Linked DNA regions of Schizosaccharomyces pombe. The gene in region 2 interacts genetically with the main gene of each other region. Each region holds a gene or a part of one and is shown on either strand. Other genes may lie near its edges.

What was found.
Region 1: of grc3 (region 2) and las1, extra expression of one rescues a mutant of the other (dosage rescue), as found in Schizosaccharomyces pombe (one study listed by BioGRID).

The regions. Positions count from the first base shown.
Region 1 is NC_003423.3:4,352,005-4,355,935, forward strand, and holds las1 (rixosome complex/ Las1 complex endonuclease Las1), read right to left. Parts: upstream 2,107-3,931; 5' UTR 2,072-2,106; coding exon 659-2,071; 3' UTR 539-658; downstream 1-538. Other genes in the region: rpl3201 (60S ribosomal protein L32), read left to right, coding at 1-275; sec27 (coatomer beta' subunit protein), read right to left, coding at 2,564-3,931. UniProt on the Schizosaccharomyces pombe protein: Required for both pre-rRNA processing and heterochromatic gene silencing.
Region 2 is NC_003421.2:2,181,765-2,185,695, forward strand, and holds the start of grc3 (polynucleotide kinase Grc3), read left to right. Parts: upstream 1-1,835; 5' UTR 1,836-2,042; coding exon 2,043-2,076; exon of another isoform or gene 2,077-2,153; coding exon 2,154-3,931. UniProt on the Schizosaccharomyces pombe protein: Polynucleotide 5'-kinase required for both rRNA processing and heterochromatic gene silencing.

The DNA.
Region 1 (3,931 bases), on a different chromosome or scaffold from region 2:
GTTGCGTCCGTCGTCGTTTCCGTGGTACTATTTCAATGCCCAAAATTGGATATGGTAACAACAAGAAGACCAGATATTGCATGCCTAATGGTCTCAAAGCTTTCCTTGTTCGCAATGTCTCTGATGTCGAACTTTTGTTGATGCACAACAAGACTTATGCAGCCGAGATTGCTTCCAATGTTTCTGCTCGCAAGCGTGTTGAGATTGTTGAGAAGGCTCGTGCTTTGGGTGTCAAAGTCACGAATGCCGGCGCTAAAGTTCGTTCTCAAGAATAAATTTAAAAAGCTATTCCAATCTCTCATAAAATTTAACATAAGTGGCCATGTAAAATGGGTAAATTCCCAATTTCGTAATAATGTCAAGTAAAATGTGTTGGTAATATAAGTATATTGTTCAGATTATTTGAGTCGTATTCAATTAGAATAAATAGTCTCGTACCTGCATTTACACGATATAAGTAAGTCGCACGTCTATCATCACGTGCAACCTATTATTCAAAACGGCATCTATTGTACTTATATTTTACTTAATTTGCTTTGCCATACTCAATTCAGCAACTTAATATTATTATTTTAGACCCAAGATTACCCTCGTGTATATAGACCCAAATAAACTCTATTCAACCTAGCTTTCCTTATATACACATATAATTTTTTTTTTAACTTTCGATTATTTGACCGATGGGGGATGGCTCGACGCTTGGTTTATACCACACATGACCTTGAAACTCCATAGTACTGGAGTCAGCTTGAGCTTCAATGTTATTTAAACGAACTGAAAATTTATTCAATTCCGTTTTCATTTGTTCTAATGTTATGTCTTCAAACTCTTGTTCGTCCAATATTCGGGAATCAAACATATCGCTGCGGTATTGAAACAAGGGAGAAAACTTATTTTCCAGCTCTTTATCTAGAATTGACAATTCATCAATAATTATCTTAGTGAAGGGATCACTTCTTTGAAGACATATTTCTAAAACGGAAGCCAAATCTGTTTGAGTCACAGATAAAGTACTGGTCCATGGCTGACCTGTATACGCTTCACGCATTAAATAAGCATACCATTTTGCTAAATAGCAACCAGCAGATTCTTTATCGGTTAATTCTTCTTTCTCCTTGAGGTCTAGAAATACCAAAGAATCAACGGTTTGGCTAATCTCTAAAATTTCAGACCACAAGGTTGTAAATAATGCAGGTAAAAAGAATGAATGCTTCGAAGCTATACTTTGTAACAGAGGCAGCCATACATTTTTAAGCTTTGGAAAAAAGCTGATTGGCATAGTTCTGGAGGGTATTAAAACACGCTTTTCCAAGAAACAGCTGACGACAATATCTAGATTTGTAGTCTCTATTGCAAAATCCAAATCTTTTTCATCATCGACGAAAGAAGCTGGGATATAAGGTAACCTCAGATTAGCTGTTGTTACCAACTCCTGTACTAATGCTTCAAATTGTTGAATATAGTCATGTTCCTCTACTGGTAGAAACATATTTGCAGAAACATTAACCTTTCTCCAGGAACGCCATTGTTTCAATAAGTCTTTGACTTTTCTTTTTATTTCGAACTTATGCAATTCATTAGTTTCGGTGTAGTCATATGTATCTTCGGATTCAGCTGTTGCAGCGGGATTCCAGTAGTGATCATAAAGCCATGATAATGCTCGTTGCGCAGCTTGTCTTAAAACAGGTAGAGAAGGAAGTTCTTCATGAGTAATGGCGTGTCTCAATTCGACAAAATAAGTAGGTAAATCAATTGATTTGGCTAAAACAGCCATTGGGATGGCGTACTGCGATTGCTGGATAGGATCCAACAAGCCACTTACAAATCTAGATATTGAAACAGCTAATGCTAGCTTTTGCGATCGGTCATTACTTATTAAAGATGAAACTAATTGCGACGTTGATTCCACTGAATGGGGAATACGACCTCGGGTTGACCAAGCCTGAATAATTTCAACACCTCTAAACAAAGCAGCTAAATCAGGTATTCCTTCTTGTCCTTCATTATAAAAGCAAGACATTAAGTAAAGGAAATCTTCCTTTAATCTCCATGGAACGACTTTCATGTCCATTTTTAAAAACTCATGACAAGTGTTGGTAGTTGGCTAAGCGATACTTTACTTATAGACATCACATACGAGAGGAAAATCCTGTATTAGCTTTTACAGTATATTATTGATACGATTTGGTAAAATTAATTAATTCATGTCTGGATATTTGGTATGCAAAAATGCACTTTGTTAACTATTCATTTCTGTCTCACTAACACTTGTAGTGTCAAACTTTAACTATTTGAAGCACTTTTATCACAAAGTAAATCGATATTTTATGATGGCTAAAATGTTTATAACCGGCAATAATATCTACAAACGAAAGGTGGTAACAGCATTGATATTTGCCTCAACCAGAAGATGTCGTATTTGAAATTGTATGTGAAACGTACGACCGTACGGATTCGTAACACAGATTGAAGGTATTATCAGTATGCAAATTAGGAAACGTGAAAATATTACTTAGACAAATACTGTGTCTGTCAAAATACTTGCGTTCCAATGTTGTATTACTTAATTTTTAAGTTCCAAGTCACCCAAAGAATCCGCAATGCGTTCTTTTTGATTCTTAGTTAAGTCAACTTTCCATTCTGGAAGAACATTTTTAACCTCGTCAGGGCAGTAAGTAGCAGCAAACAAGTTAGCTTCAGGATAACGTTGAGTAGATGTAAGTATATTGACGCATTCCGCTGGTTGATTTGTAAGCCATGAGCAGATGAAAGCTGTATTATTTATCTTTGTGGACTTAGTGAGTTGCGATAACTCTTTGAGACCCTCGTGATTGTTGGTTGCAGTATAAAGTAAAACCAAAGATCCATAATCTTTACCTTTCTCAAAGCATTCCTGAGCTAAAACAAAATCCCAAGCATTCAAGGCAGCATCACCCAAAGAACGCCATTTCAGAGGATCATCTAATTCTTGAGCAATTTGAGAAGCAATATCCAATCGTTGAGCGTCTAATGCAAGTTCAAACCGCTGTACAGAATCACCAGATAACTCTAATGCAGCTTCCTTGTATCCTAAACGGGACAAAAAGTCAGACAAACGAGGACGGTCTGTTTCAGAAATTTGCTCCAAAAGACCTTGAGCAGCCTCTAAATCGCCCTTTAGTACCAGTGATTGATATTCAATAATGGCAAGGTTGAAAGAGTAGCTCACTACATTCATATCACGATCCGTGAGGTAAATACGATCGTCACGTGGAATATAGCCAAGCAAATAAAAACTACTTTCAACGTTAGCGATTTTGTAAGTTTGGTCACCGATCAAGTAGTTTAGGCGAGCGGCAGTAGTTGTGTAAATGAAAGTTTCAGCAACCCATTTGCCATTTACTACGCTTTCAGAAACATCAGCAAGTGCTTCAAAGGAATCAGCAACACCTTCCTCTTCATCTGCTGTACCACTTTCCACAGCACTATAAAACATTTCAGCGTTAAAACCGAGAAGGTAAAAGTCATCATCACAAGCTAAAATTACAAATCTGCCATCATCATTCCAATAAACTCCTTTGGGTTTAACATCAATTTTACGAACTAAAATGCCAGTATCCCAATCATAGAAGCAAATAAAATCACTTCCCACAACTCCCAAGAGAAAGCCGCCAAAAATCTTGTCGCAAGAGTAGGACAAATCTAATCTATTGCTTTCTTTAAAATTCTTGTGAATTACGATTGAACGGTCCGATGTACGACTACCGTAGACATTAGAATCGGCAGACCAAGCAAAATCAAGTGCTTTGCCATAAGCTTTATTCCGCCAAGCAAGAGCTGTATAGACAATATACTCACCATTGCCACATACGGAAACAAATCTTCCATTCGGTGAATGTTTCAAAACAGCAGGATACAATTCCGTAGTACCCAATTCTTTCACAGAAAGACT
Region 2 (3,931 bases):
GACACGATAGGTCAATTCTTACGTTCATTCACTAACTCATTAGGCTTCTTTGAAACTTGGACCAGGCAGTGGCACAATGTGTCAAGGTAACTGCGGTCGGCTTGTACAACTCAAGGGAAAAATGGGTTGTAATAATCTGGTTATTATGGGTAGTCATTTGTTTTGTACTCTTTGGTTGCGTCAAATTCGGTAATGTGAACTTAGACAAGACTCTCATCTGTTCTACATGCAGTATTTCAGCTGCTTTACTTTTATTTTTATTATATGGTATGTGAAGTTATGTAGTTACCATTACTGACCGCTAACACGCAGTTCGTCTTCCATTCTGGACACTTAAGCATATGTTTTCTGGGTTTTTTCAAGTTCTAGGTGTACAAAGTTGTGTCGTTATTGTAACGAAAGGTTTGATGCATTTATTTGACAAACATATCGACGGGACAGGCTACGAAATTGTAGCCTCTTCACTCTTTGTTATAGGCAATTTTCTTTTCTTTTACGAAATGGGTTTGTTTAATATTCCTGTAATTTATTCTAATCGTATCAGAATGTCCAGGTGCTCTCAAAAGGATGCCCAAATTTATCAGGAATGGTATAGCTTTTATATTAGGTATGTGTATTCAACCAACTGTATGAATGATTCTTTACTTACCCGATTAGAAGGTGCAGGGAGAGCGATTAGAGGTGCCAACGATAATAATGACATTCCCTTGGGGGAAATGGAAGTTGAAAGCGAAGTCTAATTGCGTTATTAATGTAGTTGTCGCTCCAGTTGGAAAACCTCTTTACCAAAATTACCAACGCAGAGAAGCTGCGGCTTTTTTAAAAATAAGCACCAATTTTCTTTAATCATCCTCTTTCACTATAAGGTTATGGAATATATGCTTAACTTATTCTTTCAATTACCAAAAATTGCCAACCAATGTATTCTACGATGTTGGATAAAGTGCATTGAGGACCGAGTCTTTATTTATTATGTATGCGAGTCTAATTATTTGTCTTTTTTAATGGAACTCAAGTCACAAACAATAATGATTTAAATTGTTTACGACAACTTAAAATCAACTAATGAAATCGAAAAACTCGTTGTTCCGCCTTGTTAAATTCACAATTTCATTGTCGTTATTACGTTCATTTCTCCTTCATCTTGATTCTTAATGAATCAAGCTTAATTATCATTTTTTCTTTTTGTTTAATGGTTCAATTCAAACAAAATTAATGTTTACAAAATAATGAATAGCATAATAAAATATTGTGATTCAGAACGATGGTTTGTTATAGTAATAACCTAAAGACACATTGCAATAGTGAATATCTAATAACGCAGTAAACGTATATACTGGTTTTATGTTGAGTTTCCTAATGATGCATAAGCTGAGTGGGCGATATGACTTTGATTGACACATATTTTGTGGAAATTTTCAATATATAAATCAAAGAGACTAATGATTTATATTCTAATACTTTTATCCACATCGAAAGCAACAGTTCATAACCTAACTGTTGGGTCAACTGATAGAATAAAAAAAACTCGGGTGTTCGTCCCAATTATAATTATCACTACAGTTATAGTCTAAATATCTATTAACTTCAATAACTGATTTTTAACGAGTATTATATTCTTTCCTTTTTTTCAAGGTATAACGATTAATTCTTCATTGTTTCAATATTAATAAGAAGCTACTAGTTAAAGCAAGCTGGTATTATCGTTATGTTACTACCAAAAAAGGAATACCGTGCTGTTACATTTTGTTATAAAAATATACCGTTAATCACTATTTCCCAAATTACAGATATCGTACTTTACTTGGTATTTCCTCTATTTACTCTTTCTCGCTGTGCAATAAGAAGAAAAAATTTTATTATCTGTTTACAAAACATAGCTAAATTTTCTAAATTAACTTTTGTTATTGATTGTTAGTTTATGGTGGATTGTTGTTAATTGAATTAAGATCCAAAGCGCTTGCTTGTTCACATTCGTGTGAATTGCACTTTTAAAAAAAAAAAGGAAAACTTAGTTATTTATTTAATAAGCTTCTACCATAATGGTCAAGCGTCAACGTATTGAGAGCTCAAATGGTAAGTGTCTTAGTTAGTCTTAAGTATTGGCTCTCTTATATCTTTTCTAGGATAATATTCTAACAGTTCTATGACAGTTCCACTCAGTGCATTCGCTGTGCGTCAATTGACTTTAAGTAAAGCAGCCAGAAAGAAAGACAATTCATCGGGGAAAAAGCGCAGCGTTTCGGAAGAAGAAAGCCAAGACAAATATGAAGACGAAATGAAAACTGAAGGCGAATTTCCTTCTTACAAGCACACGCTCGTACAAGTGGTTGTCCCAGGAGTTGATCATAGAACAAAGCTCCATTCAGAGTCATCCAAGAATGATTCTGAAATAACTCCTGATATAAATAGGTCCAAGGTTAATCCTCAGGAATACTCTGAATTCTCAGTTGCTAGTCCTCAAACGATTTCTCCGAGTTTACCTTTAAACTTGGACGACGAAACCGTAAGTGAAAACGTTCCACATAGCCCACAATCGTCTAACGATGCCATTCCGGTGATTAAAATTACGGAAGAAAATTCATTCAGGGTTAAAGATACGCTATACGTTGGATTACATAAAGATCAAAAATTAGCAATGGTTGGTACCTTCATTTTTCGTAGCGTTAGAGGGAAGTTTCAGCTCTTTGGTGCAACCTATTCTTCAGCTTGTATGTCTTGGTTTCCTTTAAATGCTCCGTTAGCATTTGCGACACCAGTATTTTCTGCTATAGACAATGCATTACCTGCTATGCAGATTTCCGAATATGAAGAAGATTCCCTTAACCTTCGTTCCTTTGCAGTTCCCTCTTACTCACCAAAAGAGCATGAATATGAATTAGAGCCCAAAGATATTCTCCCAAATTTTGAAACTGTAATAGCTTTTAGAGAAAATGAAAATGGTCTCTCTAAGATAGCTCGTGTCCTTCCATTTGCAAAGCGTTTGTTTTCTTTTAAGAATCTTTTGCAAGATGCCTCATCAATATCAAATAATTTTGAGATAACTCCGGAGTCTTGGTGTTCTTTTTCTAACCAGTTACTGTTTTCCACTTCCAAGTCAGACTATGTTGTTCCTCGTCTTATGGTTTGTGGACCTAAAGGATCCGGTAAAAGCAGTTTTTCACGATACATCACCAATAGGCTTTTACAGCAGTATCGTCACATTGCATATCTTGACCTCGACCCTGGTCAACCCGAAGTCGTACCTTCTGGGCACATTTCATTATATTATATTAACTCACCATTGCAAGGACCTGTTTTCGCCCGAATGCTCTTTCCTACTTACATGTTACGTTTGCATCTCGGAGATATAAGTCCCCAGAAAGATCCGGATCATTACATTGCTTGTGTTACTCGTCTTTTTGCTGAATATAAAGATTATATTTTTAATCAAGAGATATCCCAAAAGGAGATTATTCCTTTGATAATAAATTGTCCAGGTTGGATCAGAGGGGGTGGTGCTGAGCTTCTTTCTTCTATTGTTGATATATGTCAACCAACAGAAGTTGTATACATGAGTCGTGAAGACATGAAATCAAGTCATCGTGAAAAAAAGAGTATTTACCAGCACAAAGAATATATGCCTGATTTTCTTTCAAGCAGAGATGAGTTTCAACTTACCCTCTTGGAATCAACTTGGCAGTATCTGCCTGATCCCAACGTTAACAAGGTTACCTCTGCTGATAATCGTATGTTAGGCTTACTTTCCTATCTGTATTTCAATTGCAATTTACAGAGGTGGGACTTTACGACAAGTTTGACAGCTTGTCAACCTATAGCCACAGCTTTTAAGGGATCTTCTAAGGGAATAGATGCTGTTAATATTATAGGTGAACCTCTTAATGTTAATGATGTCGCGAAAACTATTAATGGTACTTTAATGGCACTTTAT